Mus musculus: one gene and its partners. The protein of the gene in region 1 interacts with the protein of each later gene in a biochemical or structural test. Links are inferred from orthologs where the notes say so. Each region holds a gene or a part of one and is shown in the gene's direction. Other genes may lie near its edges.

What was found.
Region 2: the proteins of Thbs1 (region 1) and Plg form a complex in vitro, tested with the Homo sapiens proteins (2 studies listed by BioGRID). The link is inferred for Mus musculus from reciprocal best matches to the Homo sapiens genes THBS1 and PLG.
Region 3: the proteins of Thbs1 (region 1) and Lrp1 form a complex in vitro, tested with the Homo sapiens proteins (3 studies listed by BioGRID). The link is inferred for Mus musculus from reciprocal best matches to the Homo sapiens genes THBS1 and LRP1.

What each region holds. Positions count from the first base shown.
Region 1 is NC_000068.7:118,110,414-118,114,675, forward strand, and holds the start of Thbs1 (thrombospondin-1 isoform 1 precursor), read left to right. Parts: upstream 1-1,462; 5' UTR 1,463-1,662; intron 1,663-2,201; 5' UTR 2,202-2,229; coding exon 2,230-2,296; intron 2,297-2,556; coding exon 2,557-3,116; intron 3,117-3,920; coding exon 3,921-3,996; intron 3,997-4,237; coding exon 4,238-4,262. UniProt on the Homo sapiens protein: Adhesive glycoprotein that mediates cell-to-cell and cell-to-matrix interactions.
Region 2 is NC_000083.6:12,377,244-12,381,408, forward strand, and holds the start of Plg (plasminogen precursor), read left to right. Parts: upstream 1-1,365; 5' UTR 1,366-1,424; coding exon 1,425-1,473; intron 1,474-4,165. UniProt on the Homo sapiens protein: Plasmin dissolves the fibrin of blood clots and acts as a proteolytic factor in a variety of other processes including embryonic development, tissue remodeling, tumor invasion, and inflammation. In ovulation, weakens the walls of the Graafian follicle.
Region 3 is NC_000076.6:127,618,349-127,622,616, reverse strand, and holds the start of Lrp1 (prolow-density lipoprotein receptor-related protein 1 precursor), read left to right. Parts: upstream 1-1,468; 5' UTR 1,469-1,929; coding exon 1,930-1,999; intron 2,000-4,268. UniProt on the Homo sapiens protein: Endocytic receptor involved in endocytosis and in phagocytosis of apoptotic cells. Required for early embryonic development. Involved in cellular lipid homeostasis.

The sequences.
Region 1 (4,262 bases):
AGGCACTGGCTGTGTAGCTGTGTACCCGGAGTAACTAGGAAACACTCTGTAAGCCCCTCCTTGCGTGTACGCACACATACCACGCACACTCACACACCTTGTCACCGAACACTCCCTCCCACACAAGGAAAGTGAAATTGCTGTGTGATGAGCATAAAGTCCTGGGTGTTTCCAAGGTTTGGGAGTCCAGCCAGGTGTAACTGATAAGGGGAGGGAGCCCCAGCTGTCCCTCAGCCGGCCCCGCCCTGATTCTGCCAAGATCCTTATTTGGTGATGCTTTTACCTGGATCCCTGGACTCAGAGCCAAGCCTGCTCACGCAGGGCCACAGCTGGAGAAGCATCGCCGCCGCTGACGTCCCTTCCCAAAGAGATGAATGGAATTCCAGGCAGCTGGAGTCATCTTGGCTCCGGACCGATGGCATTGAGACCAGACTTCAGAGACAAAGGATCAGGCAGCAGTCTACTGATGGAAAAGTGTATACCCACAGAAATGTAAACCACACCTCGGTTTTGGGAGCCGAAAAAATGAAAAAAAAACTGTTTAGGGAGAAAGATGGGAAATAAAATAATAGGTAGAGAGTAATTTATAACTCTACGGGTCCGTTCTGTAAATAGTGTAAGATCCTGGAGCCAGATGGTTCAGCAAATTCTCCTATCGGGAGTCACGTTAAGAAACACGAGTGGGCACAAAATTGTTTTTCAAGACACAATTTCAATTTTGCCTTGAGGGAGCGGGATATAAATTCGCTTCCTTAAAATGCCGCTAAAAACTCTCCGAAAGGATCCCCTAAATCAGAATACATATACCGCCCCCAAGCGGCCATCTGAGGAAGCAAAGTAGAACTGGGGAAAAAACTCTCGACTTGGACAGTGAGTCGGAAGGCGACCTCCGTGCACGGTCCTGCTGGCCCTGTGCAACACCGTGCTGACACCCTTAGTGAGTCAGACGGAAGGCAGGCGTGCGGGACAGGAGTGAAGCGCAAAGTATAGATGACATGGGATCCCCCACCCACCAGGATTGACTCAGGAGGCAGCTTCCTTTAAGGGGTCCAACCTTTTGCCCTCTTTTATTTTTAAACCAGACTGTCTCGATCCCCAAGCGTCTCTGTCATGGAATTATTCAAGGAGATGTGCTTTAATGAAAGCCTCCCTAAAGGGTCTTAGGTGGTCCCCAAAGAAGCATCGCGTCTGGGGACTCTCATGCAGAACGTCTCCAGTTCACATGGCGCAAGATCCTAAGCGCTAAAGGCTGAGTACGCCAAGGCTGCGTGGGCGGAGACCTATTTTTCTGACAAGTTCCAGGGCTCCTGTGCGGGATCGGAGTCTCCCCCTTCACTTTCAGCCCGAGAGCTGTGCGCCAAGCAGCAGGGGGCGGAGAAATGAACCCGTCCGTCCCCGTCCCCCGCCCCCGCCCCCGAGAACCCTCCCCCCTCCCTGCTTCCTGCCTCTTTAAAAGGTCCTGGGCTCCTCAGTCAAGCCAGCCACTGCCTGGAGTCAGCCAGCCTCATCGGACTTCTGCAGGCAATCGCGAAGCTGCTATCCAGTTCTGCCACGGTCTCTCCCGGCGCACCGGCAGTCTCAGCGTCTTCACCGGACTCAGCGTCCTTGTCCTTCACTTCACCTTTGCCACCTCTCCGGGTTACTGAGCCCCGGTGCACACAGGTAAACCTCCCGCCTCTGCGGAGCACCTGGCCGGCCACCTCAAAGCCCCAGGCTGCAGATGATCAGCGCTACTCCTCATCTCCTACTCTTCCCCTTCTGGTTTTCCTAACTCCTTTATCCTGCCCCGTCTATCCCCTGGAAAGAACTTTCCGGAGCTGGTTCTCTTCAGCCTTCGGGTTCACAAACTATACCTCCAAGACACCCCAAGATTTTCTCCCCAGTAGTCTCCAGGTTACCCCTGACTGTCGCCATCCAAAATACATTCTGTAATCTTGTCTAAAGGGGCGGGGGGGAGGGGACGGACCCAAGTCACTTTATACCCTTTATCCTGGAACTCCAACAATCCCCCTGCCTCTGGCGCTCTTTTTATACTGGATACCGTTTGGAAAGTAAACCCTTCTTTTTCAGCACATATGGGGCAAAAGAAGAAACACACACACACACACACACACACACACACACACACACACACACACACCTCTGCCCTTCCACCTTGCTTCCTGGTCTCTGACTCTGGCCTCCTGTGCTTCTTGCTACAGGCTCCGTGTTGGGCACAAAGGCTCCACCATGGAGCTCCTGCGGGGACTAGGTGTCCTGTTCCTGTTGCATATGTGTGGAAGCAACCGCATTCCAGGTGAGTTTGTGATATATTCATTTTCCTCCCCCTTCTCCTCTCTCTCTCTCTCTCTCTCTCTCTCTCTCTCTCTCTCTCTCTCTCTCGATAGCTCCTGTGTTTCCTTGGAGTCCTTATCTCCTGATAAGGATGCAGCTTCCCTCGCTCAGCTTTCCATAATTGCCATTATTGTCACGAGTTCCCACCTTGGCTCCTCACAGCCAGAACTTTACCCCCTTATACCTAGCCTAGAAAGCCGATTGTCTTCTCTCTCCTTACAGAGTCTGGGGGAGATAACGGTGTGTTTGACATCTTTGAACTCATTGGAGGTGCACGAAGGGGCCCCGGTCGCCGACTGGTGAAGGGCCAAGATCTATCCAGCCCCGCCTTCCGCATTGAGAATGCCAACCTGATCCCCGCTGTGCCGGATGACAAGTTCCAAGACCTACTGGACGCTGTGTGGGCCGACAAAGGCTTCATCTTCCTGGCTTCCTTGAGGCAGATGAAGAAGACCCGGGGCACACTCCTGGCTGTGGAACGGAAAGACAACACTGGCCAGATCTTCAGTGTGGTCTCCAACGGCAAAGCTGGCACCCTGGACCTGAGCCTGAGCCTGCCAGGGAAGCAACAAGTGGTGTCAGTGGAGGAAGCTCTCCTGGCCACTGGCCAGTGGAAGAGCATCACGCTGTTTGTTCAAGAGGACCGGGCTCAACTCTACATAGACTGTGATAAGATGGAGAGCGCGGAGCTGGATGTACCCATCCAGAGCATCTTCACCAGGGATCTGGCCAGCGTTGCCAGGCTCCGAGTTGCAAAGGGAGATGTCAATGACAATTTTCAGGTAAATCTTCTTACCTGTCACAAGGGCTATGTGGAATTAATATCGGTAGACTAAAAATGATTCTCAAATGTAAAGAGGAACAGACACCCCCAGAAGGTTGGTTAAATCATATTACAGATGACCCAAAACTCCAGGGTTTCAGATTTGATAGGGACCCGAGAAATTTTGTTCCTAATAAGAAATAAGTTGTAATGGTGCCAGGACCTGGGACCCATGCTTTCAAAGCTATCAGGAGAGATAAGAAATGGTTTTCCTATTACACTCAGCCTGTTTCAGAATGGGGTACTCCCTGTGCCCTTAGGAAAGTAACTTGTATCAAATGTACCTAGCAGTTTTAATAGGGCATGAAAAGGATACTTTGTCAGTATTTGAGTCCCTGGGCAGGGTGTTCTGGGTGCTTTCAGTATGGATCTAAGGCAAGACATGAATAACAGTCCAGTCATGTGCCTCTGGGACTCCTTACTTGCCTTAACTTTCAGATATTTTTTTTTCTTACAAGCGTGGCTTTGAACGCCCACATTAACTCTTTGTCACTGGAGAGTATCATGTCCTCCAGACTTGGGATCAAATTCCATTTCCTGTGTACCCCAAGCAGCCTGAAAACTGGATTCTTTGTAAAATGCTCCAGTTGGCAGAAGACACAATTAAGATTTTGAAGTTGTTCGGCAATTTATGTCTCTGTGATAGTTTGGCAGGATGATCTTAAGTTCTTTTAAACTTTCTGAGCGTTCACCACAAGCAAACTCAGACTGGCCGCCCCACCCCCACGCCCAGCATTAAACCACGTCTGTCCTCTGCCCACAGGGGGTGCTGCAGAATGTGAGGTTTGTCTTTGGAACCACCCCAGAAGACATTCTCAGGAACAAAGGCTGCTCCAGCTGTGAGTACCCCTGTGTTTTTTAAGATTTGGAGAATTCTGGGGAAGTCCACCGAAAGCACCCTGATTAATGTAAGCAGTAGGGTGCATACACAATATCTCAGGGGGAGCAGAGTTGGCTCGCACCCACTCTGTCATTCCAAAGGAAATGTCTTTTATAACCCAGAACCCGAAGGGTAGGCTGGTGGGATCAGCTGTTGAAACCTTGAATCAGCTATCGAATACGTTACATCTTATTTCTTAGCAGCTACCAACGTCCTTCTTACCCT
Region 2 (4,165 bases), on another chromosome or scaffold:
CCCAGGCTACAGTAGGAGACTATGTCAAAGCAACAAGAACAAATAAACAAAAAGATAGTCTTTCAGCTGAATCCCTCCACTTTTGAGGGTATTACCATGATACTGCGAGTTCTTATGGAGGAGAGATCCACACTGGAGGGGATATTAAGAAAGGACTGGGAAGCGGAAGGTATATATATATATATATATATACACACACACACATATATATGTATATATACACACACATATATTATGAATACATATACACACATATACATATATGCATAAATACATATATATGCATATGCATACATATATATAATGCAGATATACATTCATATATATACACATACACATACCTATATGTGTATATGTACAAGTATACACACATATATACCTACATACACATACATATGTATATATCTATATATACACATACATATGTATATACTTATATATACACATACGTACATACATACACACACACATGTGTGTGTGTGTGTCCTCAAAGGCCAGAAGAGGACATTAGATCTCCTGGAGCTGGTGTTATGAGTGACTGTGAGCTGTCTGATGTGGGTGCTGGAACTTGAATTCTGGAGCAGCAGTAAGTGCTTCACTTACCACTGAGTTCTTTTTCCAACTCACAAACGGATTTCAACACTGCACAGTAGGCTAGTGGTGCTTCTCCATGGTTTGGCCCTTGCCCGGCAATGCCGAGTCTCACTATACAGGTGGGTCAAGGGCTAAAACACACCAGGACAGAAGTTATGTACTGCTTAAGTTTGAAAGCGGCGTGAATATGACGGTGTTGTAAAAATGATATGACTTAGTCAAACTGCTTAGTCAACATCAGGGCTGGGAGAGAGCTGAGGGGTCACCAAAGCCAAACCAAACCAAAACCAACCGCTACTCGCAACATAACGGATGAAAAACAAGCTCATACAGCTTACGCAATACACACACTGAGACATCATGTGTTACCCCAGGCCCCTCTTCTGAAAATGGGAACAGGGTACAGCCGATTGCCAGTAAGGTCAAACGAGGCTGAGTATGGACCACTTGGCAGAATCTGGCATATGGGAGGCACTCAGCAAAGGAAGAAGAGAGAAAGAAATGAGAGGAGACTGGCAACATGGTGGCTTGGGAGGAGGGAGGAGGGAGGAAGTAAGAGGGAAGAGGGAGGACGGAGAGGTGTAACAGGGTGTAGGGGTCCAATGGGGAAGGCCACTGCCATCACTTCCAGCATCTACCACAGGCTCTGCTCAAACATTTTGTAAGCTCCCTGTTCGAGGTAATGTTTGCTCTTTCTGCATACAGTGGTGGGGGCCCCAGAGAATAATTAACCTATTTGGACTACCTTGCTTGTGGATGCCTCTGTTCCCCTTTAAGTCAACACCAGGAACTAGGACACAGTTGTCCAGGTGCTGTTGGCCAGTCCCAACATGGACCATAAGGAAGTAATCCTTCTGTTTCTCTTGCTTCTGAAACCAGGTAAGATTTTGATGCACAGGTTTCGTTCCGCTTTTTAAAAATTCTAGCCATCCATTAAAAATAGATTCGCTGTGTCTTTTTGGGCAATTCATTTAAATGAGCTATTGGCTTATGGGACTTTCAGCTTAAAGTGTCAGACTGAGGAGTTCGACATATAAATTCAGTTTCCCTGTGAATACTGCTTGGGTAGGGATGGACAGGCAGAGCAAGCCACCAGTGGCTTTGTAAACCTAATTGAAGGGGGATTTTGGAGGGGTCTGACTAAAGGGCAATGTGGCTCAGTGGTAGAGCACTTGGCTAGCATATTTGAGGTTCTGGGTTCAGTTCCTGGTGGTGGTAGTTAGTGGGCTTAGATGGTCTACCTCTTTGCCTTGTTTTCAGTGTGACTGATTAGAAACTTTTGTTGAGCCATCCTGTTTCCATTGGGATCTTCTGTTTGGCTGAAGGAAGGCTTTGCATGGGTACACATCTGCCTCTGATGCTTCCGTGAGTCACATAGGTCCATTTTAAAGTGTCATGTATTTGCAGTAATTAAACAAATACCTATTTAGAGGTCAGGGTTCCTACACACATTGTGTGTGTGTGTGTGTGTGTGTGTGTGTGTGTGTGTGTGTGTGTGTAGAAACTAGCACTGGGGACACTATAAGCTTAGGGGTCACTCCGAACCAGATTCTCTGCAGTAGGATCAACATGTATCTCTGCCAATTGAGGGGCATTCCTTCATAAGGTCTTTGTCAAAGTACTTGTCATTATCTACAGAAATGGCTTGACTTTCATTTCCTATTGCACAGAAATAGCCTGGGAGAGGATAAAAACGCTTCTTCCACAACTGTGAACAAACTATTGATTTTTTTTTGAGATAAAGTCATATTATATAGTCCTGACCAGACTGAAACTTGCTATGTAGACCAGGCTAGCCTTTAACTCTCAGAAGCCCACTTCTGCTTCCCAAGTGCTAGGATAAAAAGTGTCATCCATCAAGCTCAGCAGAGATTTAATTTTGCACACTCAAGTACACACACACACACACACACACACACACACACACACACACACCATAGTAATGAAAAAAGCCTCTTTGCTTTGATGGTAATACCCATCTATATTTAGTCTGTTACAAAGAAATAATTTTCCTACTAAAAGATTTGTTTCAAGTCTCCTTATCAATATACTATATTAAACTTTATTTTCTACAAGAGCCCTGGAGGTAAACAGAAGAGATAAAGATTTGGAGAAAAAATTCAAATACAAAAGAAAAGATTCGGTTCCTCTTGGGGACATGTCTTTGGAGTGGCAGCTCCTTGGGTGGATCTCAGCGGCTGTCCACCAATAAACATGACACAAAGCTGATGGTCCAAACAGGAGGGCTCTCTCCTCTCCATCGTCATCCGAGACCTTCCTTGGCACACTCCCCGAGAACTCTTAGCACAGGTTAGCCCAACTCTGCCTAGACACGCTGTGCAGGATGACTGTATGCCTTCCAAATCACACGCAGCTCCGCAGCTCCCCAAAGCTTGGGTCTTCTCAAGGTGGGCGTTTGAATTGGAATGGAACAGAAGTCTAAAATGTTCCATTTCTCCATAATCTCTTATGCCCACAGCAAGCGCTCTGACAGTGTAAGGGCATTAGCCAACTCCACACTCTCTACCCAGCTTTCCAGTTTGGAGCATTGAGGAGGGATGGAGTCACCAGAGAGGGAGAGGGTAGGCTTTCAAAGATGAGTCTGTGTTTACCTTCTCAAGTGTTCCTGCTTCCGATCCTGGTCACTTGTTAACTTGCTGGATCTGGCTTCGATTTCCCTCTAGAGGTCAAGGTTGCCATGTTGCCTAATTCCATGAAGACTTTTCTATGTTCATTAACCTCTTTGTCCTCTCACCGCTATGGAAATCATGACTATTTACACAAAAGAGTAGTAGCAGGGGTTCAGGCTTGGAACAGAGTTGTCAAGCTTAAGCCAGCATTTTAGCACCTTAGCCCAGGGGACACCTGGCAGCTGGGACCACATTCTATGGGGACAAGAGGGAAAGCAAGCAACTCTGTCTCAGATTGCATCTCACACAAAAATCAAATCATGGTAGCACACATATGTAATTCTGCACTAGGGAGGCTGAAGAAGGAAGATTGCTTGAGTGCCAGACCAGGTAGAAAGATGTTGTCTCAACAACAACAACAACAACAACAACAACAACAACAACAACAACAACAACAACCAACAACAACAGTGAAGCCAGTATTTGTACCAGGCACTACTGTTTTGGTTTTTTTTTTTTTGTTTTTTTGTTTTTTTTTTTGTTTTCGAGACAGGGTTTCTCTGTATAGCCCTGGTTGCCCTGGAACTCACTTTGTAGACCAGGCTGGCCTTGAGTTCAGAAATCCGCCTGCCTCTGCCTCCCGAGTGCTGGAATTAAAGGTGTTCGCCACCACGCCCAGCTTCCAGGCTCTACTTTTTAATAACTTTCTCTGAAATGCCAGATGCTTTCATCATCAAGAAAAAAGTCATATGTCATTGAAAAGCATATATCATTGACAGTCAATCAACAGTATCCCATGCCGTGTTCTCTCCTGGAAGATCAAATGAATAACATCAACCAACCAGACCCCCAGAGCTCCCAGGGACTAAGCCACCAACCAAGGCATACACATGGCTCCAGCTGCATATGCAGCAGAGGACAGCATTGTCAGGCATCAACGG
Region 3 (4,268 bases), on another chromosome or scaffold:
CAGTATATTTCAAAAGGAAGAAAGACATCAGGCCTCTACTTGAGCACAGGCTGGAAACTGGACGGAGGAAAGATGGATCCTGAGAGTCCAGCCTGGGAGACTATACAGTTAGCCTGTCCGTGAGCCGCATAAGCTCTCATTGAAGAAAGGCTCTCAGTCATTAATGGACAAGTCTATTTTCTGCCAGTGACAGGCTGGAGTGTGTGTGGGGGTCACTCCTGTGGAGTTAGTGTACTGGTCCCTGGTCTTTAAAGTTCATCTCTAGCCAGGGATGTCGCCTGCTGAGCTTTCCAGAACTTTCACTTCAGGTCACAGAGAAAGTCAGACACTAAGGGTTACAGTCTTCAAACGTCGCCCACAAGAGGGCAGTGGCCGGAAGCACGTTCGCCGGCCCTAGGAACCGCCCGATGCTTTCTGGACTCCAGAGTACCGTTCCCAAACCGACTGAGACTGGGGACAAAGGTCCGGCACTCAGCACACAGCCCCCTAGGACTGGTGTCTGGTAGCGGAGCTCTGGAGTCCTTCATTCCAACTCCCTGTAGTTTGGCATCTGAAACCCTGACTTGGTGGGAGGCCAGTCAGAAGGTATCAAAAACAAAACAAACAAACAAAAAAAAAATCGAGCCTGACCTCTCAGGGCGAAAGGGGATGGCTCTACCCCAACCCCACCCTCTGGTGAGTCACCTCTCTCCAAACCAGAGCCTGCCTCTCCTGCGCCCCGTGCCAGGCGAGCAGGGCTGGGCGGGTACTAAGGTGGGCTCCATCCCTGAGCCCAAGGCGGGCCGACAAGCTGCAGCGTGTCCCCGCGGGTGTCCCTGTTTACTCTGAGCCCTGGAGCGAGGTGGGGGCGGGTCCATGTGGCCACTCCTTCACTCCGCCTCCTGAGGACGCAGGCCCCAATCCCAGACCGGTTCTTACAAAGTCTCCAAATCAAAGCTCAGCCTTTCCCGCACCTTCCCGGCGGACCGGCCACCCCTGCCCCCACCCTAGGCTAGGGAGGCACTGTCTGGGTTTCCCCAAGGAAATCAGGCCTCCGCCTAGACAGCGGCTCGGGACCCCACTGAGGGGATCTGAAATCCTGGGGTGTGACATAGAGTTTTAAAGAGGCACTAGAGCGCAGCTCTCCTTGCCCCTTACCCCATTCCCACCCTTGGCTCTACCGGCTCTAGGGAGCGCTGGGATGAGGTAGACGCAGTTAGAGGACAGGGTGCCCGGGGACTCCCACTCTCGGACCGCTTCCCAGAACTCCAAAGCTTGTAGCGCCTCCGACTCCCCCTCCCCAGGGCAGCGCGCCAAATCAGCGCATGCGCACTGTCAGGATTGCCGCGTAGCTCTTTCTCCCCCCCCCCCCACCTCTTTTTTTCTTTCCCCGCCCCTTCCCTCCTTCCCTCCTCTCCCTGTCCCCTCCCTCTCCCCTCTGAACACCCCCCTCCCTCCTCCCCCCCACCCCCCCCCCCCGCGGCACTTCAGTCAGGGGAGCAGCGGTGCGAGCTCCAGGCCAGTGCACTGAGGAGGCGGAAACGGGGGAGCCCCTAGTGCTCCATCAGGCCCCTACCAAGGCACCCCCATCGGGTCCACGCCCCCCACCCCCCACCCCGCCTCCTCCCAATTGTGCATTTTTGCAGCCAGAGGCGGCTCCGAGATGGGGCTGTGAGCTTCGCCCTGGGAGGGGGAGAGGAGCGAGGAGTAAAGCAGGGGTGAAGGGTTCGAATTTGGGGGCAGGGGGCGCACCCGCGTCAGCAGGCCCTTCCCAGGGGGCTCGGAACTGTACCATTTCACCTATGCCCCTGGTTCGCTTTGCTTAAGGAAAGGATAAGAATAGAAGAGTCGGGGAGAGGAAGATAAAGGGGGACCCCCCAATTGGGGGGGGCGAGGACAAGAAGTAACAGGACCAGAGGGTGGGGGCTGCTGTTTGCATCGGCCCACACCATGCTGACCCCGCCGTTGCTGCTGCTGCTGCCGCTGCTTTCAGCTCTGGTCTCCGGGGCCACTATGGATGGTGAGTGAGATTCCGGCGGCCCCCATGGACCCCTGGGGGCTCCCCCTCCCCAACCCCCACTCCTGCGTCTGGATGGGGAAGGGAGACGCGGGAGGGGGTGCCTTTTGTTATCCCAGTCCAGCTGACACAGCAGAGGCCTGACTGGGGGCGGGGATGGGGTCTGATTTGGGGGATGGGAGCCTGGGACAAATGATGCTTCCAGGGCCCCCCAGCTCAGACAAAGACCAGAGGCCTGGGTAGGAAAAGAGGGCTCCCCCTTTTTCTGATCTTGGGATTAAGAGGCCTTCTCTTCCTATCTCTGGTACGGGAGGGCCTCTGCCTCCCCTACATCCTCCACCCTCCCGCCCCCCCACCCCCATCTGAATTGTGAAGGAATCCGGATTTGCTGTGTACCGCTGCAAAAGGGGGCGGAGGGCCTTTTGCAGTGGACTCTGAAGGCTGGAAGGCAAAGCCGGCTAGGGGTGCCCTGCTGGCCAAAGGGCAGGCAGGCCGAGAAAGCTGTGGGTGGGGATAGGCAGGGCCCCCTGTTTGGGTGTGGAATGAGCCCTGCATCCCAGGCATGGAGGCCCGGGTCCAGAATCCTGGGCTGCCTGCCTGGGTTCCGAAGTGAGCAGCTCCCCGCTGAGGGCCTCAGTCAGGAGCCCGGTTGAGGGATGGAGGGGTCTGGTGACGCTTATGGCTGGCTTTCCCTTCTTAATTCCTGGGAGCTTTAAGATGAGAGGAAAAACGTCAGATGTCATCATTCTGGAAGAGACTGGAGAATGGTCTGGAACGCTGGGGAGGGGTTCAGAGGAAGCTCTGTCTCCCCGATTTCAGGCTTGATCACAGTTTGGGTTGGAAGGAGAGTTGGAGGTTGGGATGGGGGTTATGACCATGCCCCCAATCCTGCTCATTTAGTAAATGTGTAAAGCCCAGCCCTGTCTCACTTCATACATACACTTTGTATATTAGTTAGGTTTGGGCTGCTGTGTTGTTTTGGGGGAATTGCATGCCCCTCGTCCCTATTTCTGTCAGCTGTTTTTCCTCTTCCATGAGTCCCCAGTTCAAGACTTGCCCAGGCTTCACGCTGGGGTCATGGGGTTGAATTGGGCTGGGTCCCTAACTTGAGAAGGGGTGAGATTTTGTGACTTCCTGTCAGGTTTGCCTCTCACTGAGGACAACAGCTTCGTAGCATCTTACAGCCCTCCTCTGCCTTCAAGAGCTTGCCAGGCCGGGATTGGGAAAGTTTTTCTCTGAAACTAGATTATGTATCCTCCCCCACCCCTGTCTCTAACTTGTTTCAGTTGTGGGAGGAGGACAAGAGGGTCAGGAGGCAGCTGTGCCCAGGAAAACAGTTTACTCAGTGGCCTTCAGTCATGTCATGTCGGGGACTGTCTTGTCTAGCTGCCACCCCTAATTTTCTGCCTGCGATGAGGAAAGAGACTTTGCCCTGTCAGGCAAGCCTGTGCAGCCACCCTCTGTCCTTCACATCTAACGTCATCCCGTGCTTTCTTCTTGGTCTCAGAGCTGGGATGGGAGAAGAAGGGAAACTGAGGCAAAGAGCTTTGGGAAGAAAATGTATTAAGCAAGAAATGGACCTGCCAGAAGCCCTGTGGAGGAGGGTGGATGGAATCAGGTAGAAGGGAAAGATGCCCGTGGAGATGTGTGGCTCATTCAGTGCTGGGTCCTGGGAAGCAGAACCCCCAAGACCCTAAATGCTGGGCTAAGTTGATAGGTGGTCATTGAATGAGGAACTCTGACACGTTCCCCTTAACTGTCTCTAGCCGCGTACCTCTAAGTCTCCAGTTCATTTCAGCTCTGCACACAGTTTCTCAGGGCTGGGATAAAGGTCAGTGGTAGGGTATTTGTCCTAGTGCACGGGATGCCCCCTGTTCCATCTCTGGCAAGAAATACAGTCCGAGAGAAAGGACTACCTCCTGGGGAGGAAGAGAGAACCTGTAGAAAAGTAGACCCCGTGCATTCTGGAGCTCTTAGCCAAGCCCTCTAGACACTGAACATTCGTCTTGGCTTTCTAGAGAAGGACCCTTCTGCCTCGACCTACCTAACAGTTCTAATTGCCCTTCCTGTTGCTCAGGAATAACTCTAGGGACCGCCCCATACTCTCTTCCCTCTGTGTCTGAAACTCATCCGGGAGTCCTTTGCCTTATGGGGTGAGAGGCTTCACTTCCTCCTGGTAGACACATTTGGATACATTTGTAGCCAAGGAGGATGGAAAAGGCAGAGAAGGATCATTGACAGCCCTGCTGAGATGGGACACTTCGTGGTGGAG